Mus musculus: one gene and its partners. The protein of the gene in region 4 purifies or fractionates together with the protein of the main gene of each other region. This does not show direct contact. Links are inferred from orthologs where the notes say so. Each region holds a gene or a part of one and is shown on either strand. Other genes may lie near its edges.

Evidence for each region.
Region 1: the proteins of Polr2g (region 4) and Rprd2 purify together in Homo sapiens (affinity purification with mass spectrometry; 3 studies listed by BioGRID and IntAct, counting the BioPlex papers as one, with this or other methods). This does not show direct contact. The link is inferred for Mus musculus from reciprocal best matches to the Homo sapiens genes POLR2G and RPRD2.
Region 2: the proteins of Polr2g (region 4) and Scaf1 purify together in Homo sapiens (affinity purification with mass spectrometry; 3 studies listed by BioGRID and IntAct, counting the BioPlex papers as one, with this or other methods). This does not show direct contact. The link is inferred for Mus musculus from reciprocal best matches to the Homo sapiens genes POLR2G and SCAF1.
Region 3: the proteins of Polr2g (region 4) and Gpn1 purify together in Homo sapiens (affinity purification with mass spectrometry; 4 studies listed by BioGRID and IntAct, counting the BioPlex papers as one, with this or other methods). This does not show direct contact. The link is inferred for Mus musculus from reciprocal best matches to the Homo sapiens genes POLR2G and GPN1.

Annotation. Positions count from the first base shown.
Region 1 is NC_000069.6:95,815,927-95,820,591, forward strand, and holds the start of Rprd2 (regulation of nuclear pre-mRNA domain-containing protein 2), read right to left. Parts: upstream 3,028-4,665; 5' UTR 2,826-3,027; coding exon 2,621-2,825; intron 1-2,620.
Region 2 is NC_000073.6:45,013,223-45,017,845, forward strand, and holds the start of Scaf1 (splicing factor, arginine/serine-rich 19), read right to left. Parts: upstream 3,028-4,623; 5' UTR 2,858-3,027; exon of another isoform or gene 2,243-2,857; intron 2,183-2,242; exon of another isoform or gene 372-2,182; 5' UTR 366-371; coding exon 258-365; intron 53-257; coding exon 1-52.
Region 3 is NC_000071.6:31,493,304-31,497,767, forward strand, and holds the start of Gpn1 (GPN-loop GTPase 1), read left to right. Parts: upstream 1-1,437; 5' UTR 1,438-1,469; coding exon 1,470-1,580; exon of another isoform or gene 1,581-2,129; coding exon of another isoform or gene 2,130-2,132; intron 2,133-2,214; coding exon 2,215-2,308; intron 2,309-4,007; coding exon 4,008-4,047; intron 4,048-4,464. UniProt on the Homo sapiens protein: Small GTPase required for proper nuclear import of RNA polymerase II (RNAPII). May act at an RNAP assembly step prior to nuclear import.
Region 4 is NC_000085.6:8,795,725-8,800,022, forward strand, and holds the start of Polr2g (DNA-directed RNA polymerase II subunit RPB7), read right to left. Parts: upstream 2,834-4,298; 5' UTR 2,747-2,833; coding exon 2,735-2,746; intron 2,610-2,734; coding exon 2,500-2,609; intron 1,672-2,499; coding exon 1,512-1,671; intron 1-1,511. UniProt on the Homo sapiens protein: Core component of RNA polymerase II (Pol II), a DNA-dependent RNA polymerase which synthesizes mRNA precursors and many functional non-coding RNAs using the four ribonucleoside triphosphates as substrates.

The sequences.
Region 1 (4,665 bases), on a different chromosome or scaffold from region 4:
AAATAACAGAAAGAAAACATCTCCTGCCAGGAGTGGTGGTGCATGCCTTTCATCCCAGCACTTGGGAGGCAGAGGCAGGCGAATTTCTGAGTTCTGAGTTCGAGGCCAGCCTGGTTTACAGAGTGAGTTCCAGGACAGCCAGAACTATACAGAGAAACCCTGTCTCCAAACAAACAAACAAAAAAGAAAACATCTCCTGATATCTCTAGTACAGTCACTTACATTTAACCAAGACCTAAATGACTAAATAATGGATGTCATAGGAAAAGGAAGAAGCAAGAGTAGCCTCAGGGAAATGGACAGAAAGACTGGGAATGCTTGAGCAAACTTAGCAACTCTGTGAAGGTCTAAACATTAGGTGAAAATACTGGCCTAATACAACAGCCATTTGCATCCTAGCCTTCACCACTCTGGCTTTATTCCTGAGGTAGATATTTATCACCTGTAAACACAAATGTCCACAAATTATTCTTAGCCATTTTAGAAAGTTTAAGTTTCACTCCACTATGAAACTGATAGCAGGCTTTAAAAAGTCAAATACATTTCACTTCATTTAAATTATGTAGAATCCACTTTTCAGATAAAAAAATTACCCTCCTACTCTTAGTACCAACAAAGGAAATAAACTCAGACACAAACAACAACAAAGACAGGGAAAATTCTGGTCCTAGCATTTCTCATTATGCCTGACTAGAAAAAAAAAAGTGTAATTGTCACTTGTGATCCCACAACGCAGAGATAGGGGCCAACTTATTCTTGAAAATATATAACCACAGGGTTAAAACACTGGAGACCAACAGTAAGGAATGTAAAAATGCTTCATAGTTTGGTAAAATGATTTAAAACGGTGGAAGATGTCCCCACATCAGCACTGCTTACTACACTGATACACTCAATACACCAAGCACCATCTCACAAAGCTAACAACAGAGCCCAACCTTAACCACATCGCTTTACTGAGTAACCTTTCGCAACCTGACATTTCTGAGCCCTAGGTTCCTCATATGCAATTCAACAGACTATAAAGTATATTAGAAGGACTAAGGAAATGGCTGGCATGTGGCAGATACATAATATGTGAGTCTTTGAAGGTGACAGATATTGCAGATTCTAGTTTAACCTCTTGGCAAGAAGTAAACAAACAAACAAAAAATCTGACAATAATAAATAAAGACTAAGCCGGGTGTGGTGGCGCACGCCTTTGATCCCAGCACTCGGGAGGCAGAGGCAGGTGGATTTCTGAGTTCGAGGCCAGCCTGGTCTACAGAGTGAGTTCCAGGACAGCCAGGGCTATACAGAGAAACCCTGTCTCAAAAGACCAAAATGATAATAATAATAATAATAAAAAAGACTAGCTAATCCTGTCCTTTCTCTCGAATATCCTTCTCAACAGTATATTTCAAAGAACCACAGAACAACTGTCTTAAATACAAAAGATTTTAAATTTGGGGCCTATAATTTTGAAGTTTTATCCACTTGTTCACTAACAAGTAAACTCAAAAAATATTATAGAAGCGAAGACAGACATGGAATAAGAAAACTGTTAACTGAGTACCACTGGCAAGAGGCTATATAGATAGGAAGCAAACAACTTGAATAAATATGTATGGAGTTGGGGTTATAATTGCTTAAAATTTACTGGGTAGAACAAGCTGGCCTCAAACTTTCAGCAATCCTCCTGCCTCAGCCTCTGAAACGACATGGGCCACCACGCCCAGTTTAACAATTCATATTTTAGAAGACCTCTTTTCTGTATTAAAGCAGTGTTGTGGGGAGAACCACACAGGTTGAAAAAAAAAAGTATACTTGAGATGGGGGTTATATCTAAAACAGATAAATATATTTTAAAATTCACATTTCCCATTTTGATTGCCTATGCAAACAAACTCAATTCTGTAAAGTGTGCTTCAGGAGATTAAAAAGTGGCCGGATATATTTTATACTTCGGTACCAATGATGATTACAGTCTCGCAGTTGTGTCTCGTCAGTATCCCGTGGTCTGTATTTTAGTGTTGCAAACACAGGTAAAAGGAAAACAGGTGGTCGCCTCACAGCTCTGTAGAGTTCCTATTGCTTCACATTCATCCAGGGAAAGCCTCCTTAAAACACACGCCAAGTTTCACCCACAGTCATCAAGAGAAGGCCCCTTTCTAGACATATCCCAAGTTTCACGTCGGCGGAAAACACTGCCTGGTCTAACATATTTCAGGGAAGTGGACAGCTTAAACCATGGCTTGACTAGCCAACAGGAAACCCAGAGATCATTAACACGTCAAGGCCTGTAAGAAATAAACGGACGCGACCATTTCCGTGAAGGTTCAGGATAATCAACAACACACCTTCCAGGGCTCGGAAGGAAACGCGAAAATCTCTACGGGTCTAGGCCCAACGGCCCAAGGTCACGCCAAATGTGAGGCTGAAAAATTCCAAGCAATGAGCCCCCTGCAGAGCAGGGCAACCGTGCCTAGGATGGAGTCTGGGCTAGGGAACACTCGCGCCCGATCTTTAATGTGAACCCCAACTGAATGCAGCAGCTCGGTGGGCAAACCCCAGAGTGTTTTGGGGGCCGCATTTTCTCCATCTCTCCAGCCTCCCCCTTCCTAGTCGCCCCCACACTCACATCTCCGGAGCCACTTCATCCAATGGTAGACGATTGTACTGTGGTGTTTCTTGTTTTCTATACACCAGGACGACAAGCCTTGAATGGATTCCATGGTGTTGGTCACCGACTGGAATTTTCGATCCAACGAAGACTCCAGGGCCCCTGCGGACGAGGCCGACGAGGAGGAGGCCTTACTGCTGCCTCCGCCGCCGCCGGCCGCCATCTTCCCCGGTTTGCACAAGCGCCTCTGGTCCTCTGGCGGCGGCGGCGGCGGCGGCGGCGGGAGCGGGCAAAACAATCAGTGCGAGTGCGTGAAAGCAGCAGGAGGGGAGGGCGGCCAGGGGGTGGGGACGCTGCACGCGCTAGGCTCCTCTGGCGGCAGGAGGGCTAGCTGCTGGGCGCGCTGGCGGCTCCCACACGCTGCGAGGAGGGGCCGCGGCCGCGGAGGACTGTCAGTATGGCTCGGGGGTGGTGTTTAAACCGGGAGTCGGGAGACGACTACGGAGGAGACAGAACCTGCGACGGCGCCGACAACTAAGGCTTTTAGCCTCTACGCTCCTCAACTCTTAAGGCCCTTCCCTCATCCCGTTGGCCAAATTCCGGTGAGCCCAGGGCGGCCTTGGTACCGAAGACGAAACGCTACTCCGCCGTCCCTTCGGCTGCAGAGAGCTTTGCCTTTAGATTTTCTACCACAGGAAAGGCCCAAAGCTACCTAGGCAGAAAATTTTCTTTCTTTTTTTTTTTTTCTTTTCTTTTTTTTTTTTTTCTTTTTTCTTTTTTTTTTTTTTTTTTGCAACGCAATAGCAGCAATAGACCAGCAGAAGAAATGCGCACGCGCACGGAAGCCCCGCCCCTCCGCTTCCTCCTCAATCTTGAGCACGGGGGCCGAGGGGGCGTGATGGCGCTGCGATTCGACCAATCAGGGAAGGGGGTCGGAGAAGCGCGTCGGGACCTGAAGGCGGAGGAGGCGCTGCGTCTCTCTGTGCGCCTGCGCGTTAGGTCTGCGCCTAGCGGGTTGGGAGGAAAACCTGGGGAGGCAGGATTGAGGCGCTCCGGAGCCTAGGACGTTACTAGACCCCAGTTCAGTGCTCGGCCCTGCTTTTGGCTTCATGGCGGGGTTGCTCCCTGGGAGCCTTTAATTCACACTAGGATGGGAAATGCCCACCGTTCTGTGGCTACTGTTTTTGACAGCTGCAGCTGCGTTCCCTGCCACCCCGCCATCGGGGACCTACACGCGACAAAATGGCTGGCACGTCTTGCGGAGTGGGGGAAGACGCGCATGCGTCAGGCCCTGTTAGCTGTTCTCTAGGCACTCCTTGACTAACCTATGCTACACGCCCGACTGCGATGACACCGTTCACAGCCAGCCGACCGACTGCATTCTAGAAAGAGGGAATAAAAGTTAAACGAAAATTTCTCTGAAAAGTCTTCGAAGCGAGGAAAGAGTAATTGACAAGGTGTGGCTTCTTTGCTAGGTAGTAACATCACAATTTCGTAATGCGTTATAGGTTTGTTTTTGTTTTTTCGAGACAAGGTTTTTCTGTGTAGCCCTGGCCGTCCTGGAACTCACTCTGTAGACCAGGCTGGCCTCGAACTCAGAAATCCACCTGCCTCTGCCTCCCAAGTGCTGGGATTAAAGACGTGCACCACCACTGCCCTGTGCGTTACAGTTTACAAGAGTCTTGAGTATTGTGTTTATTAGCACAGCCTCAAATTAACCATTATGGGCTGGAGAGATGGCTCAGCACGTAGGAGCACTGACTGCTCTTCCAAAGGTCCTGAGTTAAAATCCCAGCAACCACATGGTGGCTCACAATCATCCTTAATAAGATCTGACGCCCTCTCTGGTGTGTCTGAAGACAGCTACAGTGTACTTAGATATAATAATAAAGAAAATCTTTTTAAAAAATTAACCATTACATTCTCATCTGCCTGTGTGAATCTTTTGAGAAGATTGGACGTTCATGTATTCCTATTGAACACAGGAACTTCATTTTAATTATGCCAACTCAACGGAAAGGTTTTTGAGGCAAGGAGCCTGTTTCATCATTTAAAATTAATAT
Region 2 (4,623 bases), on a different chromosome or scaffold from region 4:
CATTAGGCAGGTCTCCCTGAAGGGAGCTTCCCACAGCCTGCTGAATGGCCCGCTGCAAAAGGGGAAAAAACAAAAATCAGGGCCAAGACCTCTCTAACTTCTGCTGTTTGGAAAGCACATTCCAGGCACCCGGCAGCCAGAGTCCACAAAGAACCCCAATTCTTCCTGAAGGCCTGGTTCAGGGCCTGAACCCCCAGCCCATACTTCAGAGCATGAGAACCTAGGCCTCCAGGCCTCACTGCACCCAGCTTTCTTACCAAAATAAAGGCAGAAGGAGAAAGGGCAGGATCTCTGTCAGGTGGACCGTCTCCCCGATCCTCTCCCGACTCCTCTGTTTTACCTCGAGACTCATCTTCCTCCTCCATGGTCACCTGGGGTTGAGGCAACAGTTTGAAGTGAAGGCTGAGGGAGGCAGGTCAGAGGTGAAGGAAGACCTCAAGGGCCCCCAGTGCATCCTGCTTTAGTGTCCCTCTCTTCCGCCTCATTCCTGATGACCTTGTCCGTGGTCCCACGCTGACCTGCAGGGACTAGAGCCATTCTTATCCTTCTTCTGGATTTCGGCTGCCTCCCCATCAATGGGAGGACCGCTCAGCCACCTGCTCCAACACCTGGCCCTCCACTGCCCACAGCTTCCCAATGCTCCTAGGCAAACCTCCAATTAATTACCCAACCCAGTCAAATAGATGCAAACTCAACCCTGACTTCGGGTGTCATGATTTTAAGAGCGTCGTGCTTCAGTCTCAGAAAGCCACCTTCCCCACAGCGGGGAATGTGCCGACATGCTCAGGGGTACTCTGTAACAGGTACCGTAGGTTCACACAGCATTCATTATCCTCCATGATGAGGAGCCCAAGAGCTTTATTTACAGCCACGAGATACAACTATGATAGTATGATCTACATAACCACCACACCGCTTTTAAAACAAAAATGCCAAGTTTCAGAAAGGCATGCTGTCCTCCCAGCCCCATTGGGACACTTGCCTATCACCCAGCTGCCTGTCCTGTGGAAGCATGGCCAAAGCCTCGGTGATGTCACGGGAATTCTGAGCTTTGAGTGCCCAGTCAGGTAGTTGAAAGAGCATCCTTCAGACTGGTGGATGTCTTGATTGAGGCTTCAGAAAACATGAACATCACAGCTGTAAACCTCCCCACAGCTGTCAAACCTGCTACTCTGAAAACACCTAATCTTGGAATTCCTAAAAGCCCTAGGCTCCCTAAACCACACTAGCGCTTATCTGAAAATGGCAAAATAGTAGTATCTCTCACACTGGTTTCCACATATAAATGGCTGGATACACATTAGCAATAATTCTATCAGTAGCCCTTCGACCAGGTTTCGCCTTTTGGCCTCAGCCCTGGTCTCAGTCCTACTCTGAAACTATACCTTGGCCTCCACAACCCCCCCCAGCTCCAGCTCTCCAAACCTTCAGCTTCTTCCTGATTCCCTCAGGCATACCTTACTGATGGCCCCCCTACCATATCCAAGCTTCTCTAAGCTAACATTCAAGACTTTCCTACCCTGTATAGCAATAATTCCCAGCTCTGAGGATGCTCTCTCACAGTCTGATACACATCTTATCCAAAGCACTGACTGTCACAGAAAAGAAATTGTACCAAGAGATCCTGGCTGCAGATTTGGAGATCCCCAAAACCATAGACCTTGTAAGGCTCTGCAGACCATGTGAGATCGGTGATCCCTCAATTACAGGGCTCTGGGAGCAATTTAGTGATTCACAAACAGCTCATTACACAAAGTACATAAAACATAATGGAAAATACTTTCCAAGTTTCAAATGGAACCATGAGTTTGCAGGACTGGAGTAATATTAGTAAAATACATATGTTGGCATGCACTTAATCTCATCGAATAATGCATTTTTTCCCTTCCTATCAAGGTCAAGTTGCAGAGCACTGCACTAGATGATCCCAGACAGCTCTACAGACCCTCAGGAATGATTCTAACTCCTCAGCATGGGGACAACACAGGTTCTTTTTTGTTTGAAACCATTTTCTTTTTAATTACTTTCTGAAAGGCAAGTACATTTGAGCTGGATAAAATTCCCAGCGTTTTCTGTTATTATTCTCTACACATTTATCTACTCTTCAAAAGCACTTGAATTTCCTCCAAGACATAGACTGTATTCTTGCAATCATTGGACGATTCTAGTTCCTTCAAACTACCCCACCCTACCCCACCCACCCCTATCTCCGAGTCACCCCCACATAAAACACTTCCCAGACCTTAGCGACTCATTTATGCCTCTGGGCACATCACAAAGCTTGCTTCCCTCTCCCTAGGTGGGAGTACATCTCTTTCTTCCAGGTGGACCTTAACACTTCCTAGTCCTTGAAGAGAGCTTCCAGGCCTCATAAATGGTCCCAGATCCATGTAGATGAGCCGAATGCAGAGGCCAGCATGAGGAGAGACTTCCCAGCCCTAACAAATACACCCCAGTGAACTAGGTGACTCTGCAGACCCCCTTAACTCCTGGGGGAGTGAAGATCTCAAGATGGCCCCAAAAGCCTCTCAACAGACCCTAGCCTACGGTCGCACATAAAAACCATCTACGGCGCCTGCAGACGTGTCCAGGCTCAGCAATGGGAAGGAGGGCCGGCCTAGTCGCGGTCCAGGCCATACGAAAGCCCTCTGGCACCCACGGGCGCGTCCGGGGCCCTAAGAAGGCCCCCTACTCAGAGACTGCCTTGGCCGCTGCAGCCGGGTCCGAAGGTGCCACGCTACGCTCTCCAGGCCCCGTGGCATACGGGCGACACTCGGAGACGACTAGCGACCCGACTCCGCCCCGCCCACCCCGATAGGCCCGAGCCCCGCGGCCCGGACCGCCGCCGCCATCTTACCCCGCCGCTCGGGCTGCGGCTCCGGTCCCGGCGCGGGGCGGGGCGGAATGGGGCGGGGCTCGCGATTTGAGCTGGGGAAGGGCGGAACCAAATTGCCGCGGCGCTTGCCGGGATTTCAAGTACCCAGCTGGGTTTCCGAAAGGCCGGCAGCACCGGAGGCGACTCCGTTTCCCAGAAATCAATGCGTCACATGGAGGTGGAGTGCGCGCGCTGGATGCCGGGAGATGTAGTCCGTGTGAAGACTCCGTCACGCGGGGGACAGTGTACGGGGTGAGAGGTGAAGTGGGCGGGGCTGCTGGAGCGCGCGGTACGACCCCCCTCAGTGTCCTGCGTGCGCGGGGAAAAAGGCGGCGGATCAGGAAGTGATGTAAAAAAGGCGCTCCGTTGTTGAGATCCATGGGAATTGTAGTTCAATTAAGATGGACGCTACCCCGCCCATGGTCGTCCTTTCTGAATATGAAACCCTTCTAATTTTTTTCTCCTATAAATCCTAAGAAGATTTTTTTGAGACGCTGTCTTATGTATCTCAGACGGGCTTGGAACTTGCTGCTGTCTTTCTGCTTCTGTTTCCCCAGTGCTGGGACTCGTCAGTTATCATGCCCAGCTTCTAAAATTATTTATTGGGGGGGGGGAACTAGAGATTGAATTTAAATGCTCATACATGGTAGACAAACGTTCTATGTTATCACTAAACTATATCTATAGTCCTCTTTTCGTTTGTTTGTTTTGAGATAAGTTCATTCTAAGATGTCCAGAATAGGCTTTAACTTAAAATAATCTCCATTAAATTCAGAACTCAGGAGTCAAACCAGAGCTCCTTTACTCAGGACAGGAAAATCCAAACTCTGAGTCTTCTGGTTCAGAGCAGATGAGTGAAGACTCATTTCCCTCTTCCTTGGGACTCTGGAATTTCAATCCTCTTCCCTTTCAGGACGTCAATACCATATCTTACATAAATGTAAGTGCTAAATTCTTCCACAACCCTCCCGGAGCACTCATGCCCTCGAACTCAGAATTCTGGGTCCCCAGACTCTCCATCCTTTGGCCCCATGAGTCCAGACTCCCAGCTTTCCCAGTAGTAGTAAGGAGCCCCTCCCGACCCCCTGGACCGGAGTCGGACCGGAGAAATCTAAGTCTCTAACTCAATACTCTCGTAGGAACCAGTGTCTGAGCTATCAACCGCATCCTTCCAAAGCCCAGAAATCCTGGCTGTCGGCCCTTCTAGACCCGGACTTCCCGACTAGGATGAACTGGCTCATGGATTAGGAATGTGGTGATCTCACAGCCCGTCCTGCCCAGTTACCCTGCTGTCCCCCTCCAGGGCCCCAGCTCCCCTCCCAGTCTATCTTCCGTTTGGCTGGGACAGCGGGAACCGGAAGCCTAAGTCCATAGACAGGCCGAGACGCCAGCCTCTAGAACGAAGCTGGGGCAGAGAACTTGGCGACAATCCCAGGGAGGAGGCGGAGATTAATTTTGAGACCTGTGCTGTCCTAAGATCTCCCTATATACGGCCCTGAGAAGGAGCCCCAAGCCACACCTACCAGAAACAGTGGTCCTTAGATAATAACTACCGCAACATTTAATTTGCATATCCCCGCCCCGAAGAAAACTTTTTCGCCCAAAGATGGGGTTTATTAGCATAGCTCCTCCCAAAGGCGGACTGCAGGAGGAGAGCTCGTGGCTGTGCTTAGGGTGGACACAGGGTCATTAGCATATCCCCACCCCTCTTGGAATTCCCCGTTTTTGCAACCTTGTTTCCCCTACCC
Region 3 (4,464 bases), on a different chromosome or scaffold from region 4:
TGAACTGTATGGGTACTGCCAGAAAAATAATGTTACCTGAATCCCTGCCAGAAAGTAACACAAGCCAGACAGTGGTGCCCAGAGAGGGCCTGAGTCAGGAAAGGAGAATCACTATCCATTTGGTATGGTACGTTGCTCACTGATCCTGGAGCTCATTAATTTGGCTAAGCTAGCTGGCCACTGAGCTCCAGGGATTCTCCCATCTCTAGCTCCCTAGCACTGGGATTATAGGCACAATCCACAATGCCTGGGCTTTTATGTGAGGGCAGGGGTCTGAATTCTGGCCCTTAAGTTTGTGCAGCAAGCACCTTACTAACTGAGCCCTCTCCACAGCCTGCACATGTCATAATAAAATGAGATATCTATGTATAGATATATACAAACTTTTTGTTCTTTAAGAGTTTTATCCACGGGGGCTGGTGAGATGGCTCAGCGGGTAAAAGCACCCGACTACTCTTCCGAAAGTCCGGAGTTCAAATCCCAGCAACCACATGGTGGCTCACAACCACCCATAATGAGATCTGACTCCCTCTTCTGGAGTGTCGGAAGACAGCTACAGTGTACTTACATATAATAAATAAATAAATCTTAAAAAAAAAAAAAAGAGTTTTATCCACTTTCCAAGAATGTCAACAAAACCCAGGGCCACCCTTGACTCCTAGCCCTTTACCTCACTCTTAAAGGGGACTTTTTAGGAGTTTTCTGGTTCCCTTGAGCCTTTGGTTCACCATCTTTTCTTCTTCCCTTGGACAAATAGCCATACAGATGAGCAAATAAGACATTGGTCACAGTCTCTGTCATACAGGGCTTTCCCTCATGAGGTTCGTCTCCCTTCCTCTACCCATATCTTCCGGTATTAATTATTCAGCCACACTTCAGCCACAAACGCTGTAAGGTTCTTTAGTCCCCTTTGCATTAGGCAATGATTGCCAGAAAATGTATCTTCCTCTGTTAAAGTACAGTATTCATGCTATCTTTCAAGTGTTACGCTAATTTTTACCTAATATTTTCTAGAACATAATGACGTTTAATTTTTTTCTTCTTCTTCTTAGACAATAAAATAAAAGGTAGAGCAACACCTTTGTTATAGGATCCTGACAGATCCTGGCTTGGGAATCCCACCTCATTACTCCCTTGGGGACACGAGCTTAACCCTTTCCGGGTCCTATCTCACTCCTGTCAACCCTTCCTGGTTCCCTACACTACCCCTCACTTGTGCAAAGCCACTATAGCATCAAAGTGACCCCTGCAAGTCAGATGCCAAAAGCCGGTCAGGCACCCACTGCAGTAGGTTCGAGCGGTTTGGATAGTCTGGCCAATCGCAACCCTAAACTCAGAGAGGCCGGATCGTTCGACCAATCGTAGCCCTGTACGCAAGAGGACGGATTTTCCTACCAATCGCAGCCCGGAATTCAGAGAGCCCGCAGGCCGCCGGGCGATCCCTGAGTGGTGGGCGTGGCTGAGGAAAGATGGCGGCGCCCGTGGCTCCATCCGAACCCCAGGCTTCCCGGGCTCCTCAGCCCCCCGTGTGTCTGTTGGTGTTGGGAATGGCGGGATCCGGGAAAACTACCTTTGTACAGGTGACGTGCACCGTGCAGAAGCGGTAGTGGCGCCTCAGGCCCGGGAAGAAGGGAGGAAGTTGTCTGGGGAATCTGCGGGTCCGGGCGCGTGGTTTTCTCGAGCTGTCCTCTGACTCCTTTCCTTCCCGAAGCCTCGAACCCTAGCCTGGGTCACTTGAGGCCGGCTCCTGGGCAACCTTAATGCACACTTGGTACAGCTGAACTTGTCTTGCTGCGAATTGGCAGCTTTCCGAAGGCCCGGGCCTAAAGAGTAGGGGAGTGTAACGTCTACTACTCTGGTTTGCGTGAAGAGTTGTGAAAGAATCACTTCGTTCGACCTACCACGTTCTAAGCTCTGAGAGTACAGCGGCAATGAGATCGACAGGGTTCTTGCTTTCACGGAGTGAGTGTTTTAGTGGAGGAGACAGAGGAAGAAAACCCTTGGAGGGGCAGAGTTAGCGAAGCCGTGACGGAGAATAGGGAGACAGGTACTGGAACTAGATGGCTTTTTAAACTCTTCAGTGTTGAACACGCTGAGGGAAGAAGGAGATTGTTACAGATTTTATAAGCATGGTCAGTAAAGGGATGGGAATTCTCGGGGCCCGTTCCTATCCTTTGGTCATCACCCTCCAACCCTGGCTCCTTGTTTTTGCAGAGGCTCACAGGACACCTGCACAACAAAGGCTGTCCACCGTATGTAATCAACCTGGACCCAGCTGTGCATGAAGTCCCCTTTCCCGCCAATATTGGTGAGTGCCTGCCTGCCTGCTTGCTTGATTTCCTTTTCTTGTCTTTTCTTTCTAAGCTAGCTAACTATGTACTTTTCTTTTCTGTGGATTTGCCTGAGTTCCGGAACAGGCTTCTTGCTTATGCAGATTTATCCCTCTTATGCACTATCCCCGCTCACCTCTCTCTCATGCCCTCGGTGTGTGAAACCGTTGAATTGGTTTGAGAATGAGACATGACATTAGGTCGGGCTGTCACCTGACACGTGAATCCTTTGGTTTCTTTTGTCAGAGTTTATAAGATTTGCTGTAATTCACTTTATAGGCAGGTTCCTTCCATTTCCAAAGTTGTGTGTGTGGGGTGTGTGTGTAAGAATATGCACTGTTCTGAGGAGAGCTTTCTGATTGAGACTATCAAAAAGATTTAAGTATTGGTGTGATCCAAGGGAGCCTGAGGCAGAATATTTAGAGTTCAGAGTCAGTCCGACTTGCATAGCCAGACCTCGTTTGGAAAAGAAAAGGTGGGCGTGGGGGTAGATTTGTTATCAAAGTGTCTGTGATCCACTAACAGGGCTCTTGGATGTCCAGGCTTCCTGACTCCTAGGCCTTAACTGTCAGGGCTAGGGTATGAAGCTTTCTTACCCCAAATACACAAATTGGGTAGGGAATCTTGTTTTGAGAATCATAGGTTAGGTCAGGCGGTGATGGCTCACGCCTTTAATCCTAGCACTCAGGAGGAAGACACAGGCAGATCAGTTCTAAGACTGCCAGGGCTACACAGAGAAACAAGAACAAACAACAACAACAACAAAAATCATTGATCATTTTGGGATTATAGGGCAACAAATTTTCTATTTAAACTAGAGGATAAATATGTGATATTATTAATTTACAGACTGGTGGGTAGGTTTGTTTTTATTCATTTTTATTTAATGTGTATGGGTGTTTTGCCACATGCGTGTCTGCGTCTGTGTGTGTCTGGTTCCTGCAGAGGCCAGAAGAGGGCACCAGGACCCCTGGAACTGGATCTACAGAGAGTTGTGAGCTGCCCTGTGAGTGCTGGGAACTGAATCTGGGTCCTCTACAAGAGCTTCAAGTGCTCTTAATCACTGAGCATCTCCAACCCCTGGGGGGTAGGTTGTAGTCGTTCTTAGTAGACAGGCTTATAGTTCCGATGTCTGTGAATTGCCGTCATTACCATGCAGCCACTAGTAAGAAGTCTTTGCTTATTTTGTTTTTGTATGTTGGTATTCCTGTGCATATGCCCACTGCCACTGAAATTGTCCAAAACCTGTAATGTTGTTCTAGACAGTATCTATCATAGCTAAGAGCTTTTGGCCTAACCTTTTCTTTGTTTGAGACAAGGTCTCTCTGTGTGGTCCTGACTGTCTTGGAATTGCTCTAGATTAGGCCAGTCTTGAACTCACAGAGATCCACTTGCCTCTGTCTCCTGAGCCCTCGGATTAAAGGTGTTTGCCACCACGCCCTGGAGCGAAACATTCTTCCTGGGGTACTACTTGGCAGTTATCTTTAGTCAGGAAGAAAGTGTGGAGGAAGGGATAAGAAAATGCTGGTAAGATACGGTGGCACTTGTACAATCTCAGCGCTCAGGAGACTGAGGAAGGAGAGCAGCTCGGGCCACCTGGGAAGCGCAAAGTCAGTCCAGACAAGTGAGGTCATGCTCTAAAGTAAGCCGTTCTCTCTTTCTCTCTTTCCCCCTCAGATATCCGAGACACAGTGAAATATAAAGAAGTCATGAAGCAGTATCCTTTTCCTCATCTGCTGCGAGACTGACTCGGTCATGGCAAACTGCTGTCTTTCATTGCTTTGGGGGAGTGGCTTTGCCTGTCAAGTTGTGACAATACAAGTAGAAAACTCACGTCCTTTTAGGTAATCGTATTAAGAGGATAAGATGAGGGCTGGTGAGATGGCTCAGCAGGTAAGAACACTGACTGCTCTTCCAAAGGTCCTGAGTTCAAATCCCAGCAACCACATGGTGGCTCAAAACCATCCGTAAAGAGATCTGACGCCCTCTTCTGGAGTGTCTGAAGACAGCTACAGTGTACATTATTTATATAATAAATAAATAAATCTTTAAAAAAAAAAAGTAGGAGAGATCAGAGATTTCAGCAATGCCTCCTGTTTTCTTAACATCACCTGGACTGTAAGTGCTGTCACTA
Region 4 (4,298 bases):
CCGAAGGTCAGGAGTTCAAATCCCAGCAACCACATGGTGGCTCACAACCATCCATAATGAGATCTGACTCCCTCTTCTGGAATGTCTGAAGACAGCTACAGTGTACTTACATATAATAAAAAAAAAAAAAAAAAAAAAAAAAAAAAAAAAAGTTAGCCAGAGCTACAAAGTGAGTTCAAGGCCAGCCTTGGCTACATAGTGAGACCCTGTTTCAAAAAAACAAAAGCAAACAAATAAACGAAGAAAGGCCTGGGCTTGGAAATTTAGCTGAATTGTACGACCCTGGGTTTGATCTTCAGGTCTGGAGAGGAGAGTGGAGAAAGAAAGAGTCAGGGGGCAGCTGGTGAGATGGCTCAGTGGGTAAGAGCACCCGACTGCTCTTCTAAAAGTCCTGAGTTCAAATCCCAGCAACCATGTGGTGGCTCACAACCATCCATAACGAGATCTGACTCACTCTTCTGGAGTGTCTGAAGACAGCTACAGTGTACTTACATATAGTAAATAAATAAATCTTTTAAAAAAAAAAAAACCCTTAAAAAAAAAAGAGTCAGGGGGTAGTTTGCATACTATCAGTCAACAGTAACGACTCAGTCAATGCAGATTTCTATTGTAGCACGACTACTTCTGTAATTCAGAAGACACCCCCAGCTAAGTTAGATGGAAAGACAGTTAAGGAAAGTGAAGAACCAAAAAGTGACCTAAGGGACTGAAGAGATGGCTAAATAATTAAGAGTGCATAACCGTGCTTGCAGAGGACCTGAGTTCAATTCCTAGCATCCATATCCAGGGTCTCACAACTCCAGGTAGGAGGGGACCTGAAACCCTCTTGAAGCTTCAGAAGGTACCAGCACTCATGGGCTTGCACTCACCCCAGATAACATACAAGTACACATAGTTAAAATTAAAATAAATTGCTGGGTGGTGGTGGCTCGTGTCTTTAATCCCAGCACTCAGGAGGCAGAGGTAAGTGGATGTCTGAGTTTAAGGCTAGTTTGGTCTATGGGGTAAGTTCCAGGACAGCCAGGGCTACACAGTGAATCCCTGCCTCAAAAACAAAAGTACAAAACTGACAGCCAGGACTACACAGAGAAACCCTGTCTCTAAAAACAAAAACAAACAAACAAACAAAAAATCAAACCAACCAACCAACCAACCAAACAAACAAACAAAAAACCTGCTGGGTAGTGGTGGCACATGCCTTTAACTTGAGAGGCAGAGGCAGGTGGATTTCTGAGTTCGAGGCCAGCCTGGTCTACAGAGTGAGTTCCAGGAGAGCCAGGGCTACACAGAGAAACCCTGTCTCAAAAAAAAAAAAAAAAAAAAAAAAAAAAGAAAAGAAAAGAAAAGAAAAGAAAAAAGAAAACCCTAAAACCAGAAAAGAAAAACCAAAAAACTAAGATAAAATGAATCTTAACAACAACAAAAGACTTAAGGCAACTAGTAAGTGGACTAGGGACTGAACCCTCACCTTAGGAAATACCCCATAACCTTTCTATGAATAATACTCTTACCTTGTTGACCTGAGTGACCACAGCATCCACCACTTCACCTTTAAAGGGCCGGAAAACAATAGCTTTGTATTTCACTGGATAAAGAACAAAACCTCGGCCTGGCTGGATCACACCAGCACCAATATTGTCGATGGTGGTGACAGCAATTACAAAGCCATATCTGCATGAAAAATGAAAGAAGACAGCTATGTGAAGAGCCTCTGAAAAGCCACCAGCAATAAGAGTCTCTGTGTGAAAGAACCTCTGTTCAGATGGTTCATTGATCAAGAAGAGACAGGACACAGATTAGCACCTAAATATATATATATATATATACACACACACACACACACACACACACATATATATGTTTTTTCGAGACAGAGTTTCTCTGTGTAGCGCTGGCTGTCCTGGAACTCACTCTTTAGACCAGGCTGGCCTTGAACTCAGAAATCCACCTGCCTCTGCCTCCCAAGTGCTGGAATTAAAGGCATGCGCCACCCCCGACCAGCTTAGCACATGAAATATTAAATGATGCTCTCATGATGGTACAGTAAATGCCCAAGAAGGCCTAGATATGCTGACATACACCTATTCTCTCAGTACCATGTAGGCTAAGGCAGGAGGACTTGCCAGGGTCAAAGCTGAGACAGGTCTTTCAAAAACCACAAACGAGTCAGAGAATTGTGATGAAAGCCTTTAATGTCAGCACTCAGTGGCAGGCAGATCTCTGAATTAGAGCCCAGCTTGGTCCACATAGTGAGGCCATCTCAAAACTCAAAAACATTTGCATAATAACGGTCTTATCTCACATAAGGGAAGAAAATTTTCTTTAGTAGCTTTTCAGAGTGTCTAAAACAGGCAAAAACTGGCTGCTTCAGGTGCCTGGAGGGGTGAAAGGGTTCCTCAGAGTAAGCGACAAGCCCTGACAGAAGGAGTTAAGAAGAGGTTAGAGACTAGCGCCATTGTGCGTGCATTCAGCAGACCTCTCTGTGAAGCAGAAACTCACTTCCCAGTGCAGGTCCCCTCCACCTCGGTAAACAGCTTCTGCTTCACCGTGTTGAGCAAGTTTGGACCGAAGTATCGTGGGTGCAGGAGGATCTCGTGCTCCAGGGAAATCTGCAGAGAAAGGAAGATGGAGACTCAGCCAGCCACATTGAGGACAGGAGGCGACCTGTCGGCCCTTCCGGGCCTCCAGGATCCTCCTGTGACTGCCCCTCACAGTTACCCCGCATCCAGCTCACGTGATAAAACATCTTCTGCAGAAGCTTGGCCCGCAGCGCCCAGAACTTCCCACGCAGAGACCTCTCCGGAAGCACTTGCAGAAGTCCCACCACTTCTCTGCGGTCGCTTCCGCAGCGCTGATTGAGTCTTAACGTCATGGGCGGGGATACATGAAGCCCCGCCCCTCAGGCCTGCCCACCACCGTTCATACTCCCCTCCTACTTAAAGCAAATTCTAGGACAGCCGGGATTACAGAGAAAAACCCGGCCTCGAAGAACCAAAGCCAAAACTAAAACCAAAACCAAAACCAAAACCAAAACCAAAACCAAAACCAACCAAAAAATGTGAGTTATTTTAGGTCTGACTTTTACCACATGCCCTTAAACCCAGCCGTGGCAAACAGATCTCTAAACTTAAGGCTAAGCCACAGCTACAAAGTGAGTTCCAGGGTAACCTGGGCTGTGTATACAACCCTGTAAAACATTTACACATATTTAAAAAAAACCAAAAAATTATTATTATTTAATTTGGGGGCTGAAGAAATAGCTCAGTCCTTAAGAGCACTTGCTCCTCTTGCAGAGGTCCAGGATTTAATTCCCAGCACCCACAGGGTAGCTCACACTCTTCTTTGTAACTCCAGCTCAGGGAGAGCTGACATCCTCTTCTGGCTTCCTTCAGCACTGCATGTGAGTGGTACCCAAACACACATACAGGCAGAACACCCATGCTTGTAAAATAAAAAGAAAGGCTAGGCAGCTGGGGATATGATTGTTCTTCCAAAGGATCCAGGTTTGATTCCCAGCACAAGCATGCTGACTCAACTCTCTATCTATACTTCAATCCCAGGGGATCCAGTGCCCTCTGGCCTCCATGAACACAGCACCCTTGTGGTGAACAGACATAGCTGTAGCCAGAACACTCACACATATAAAATAAGAATAACGGTTTTTTTTTTTTTTACATGTAAATAAAAATAAAGCTCTCAAAGAGGACCTGAGTTCAGTTACTAACACTAGCATTTCACAACTCCAGCTCTAAGGGGACCTGAAATCTTCTCGTAGCCTCAGAAGGTACCAGTACTCATAGGCTCATACTCACACATAGGTAGCATACATTATTAAGTACACATAATTAAAAAGAAATCACTTAGCTGGGCATGATGGCGCACGCCTTTAATCCCAGCACTTGGAAGGCAGAGACAAGTGAATTTCTGAGTTTGAGGCCAGCCTGGTCTACAGAGTGAGTTCCAGGACAGCCAGGGGCACATAAACAAGGCTGTCTTAAAAAACAAAACAAAACAAAAAAACCCCAAAAAGACAGCAAACAAACAAAAAGATTATGTCTGCAGGCATGCACTAGGCTTACTTTCTTTTCTATTTGAGGGACAGGGTTTTATTATGTAGCCATGGACGGCCTGGAATTTGTTTTGTAGAGGAAGCTTGCCTTGAACTTTTAACAATTCTCTTGCCTTTTCTTTTGAAGTCCTGGGTAAAGTGGAAGCTTAAGGTTTGTCAGTTGTGTTGGAAGGTATTTTGCTGGAGCTAACACGTGAAGGAGTGTTTTCCTGAAGTGGACACAGGTGAA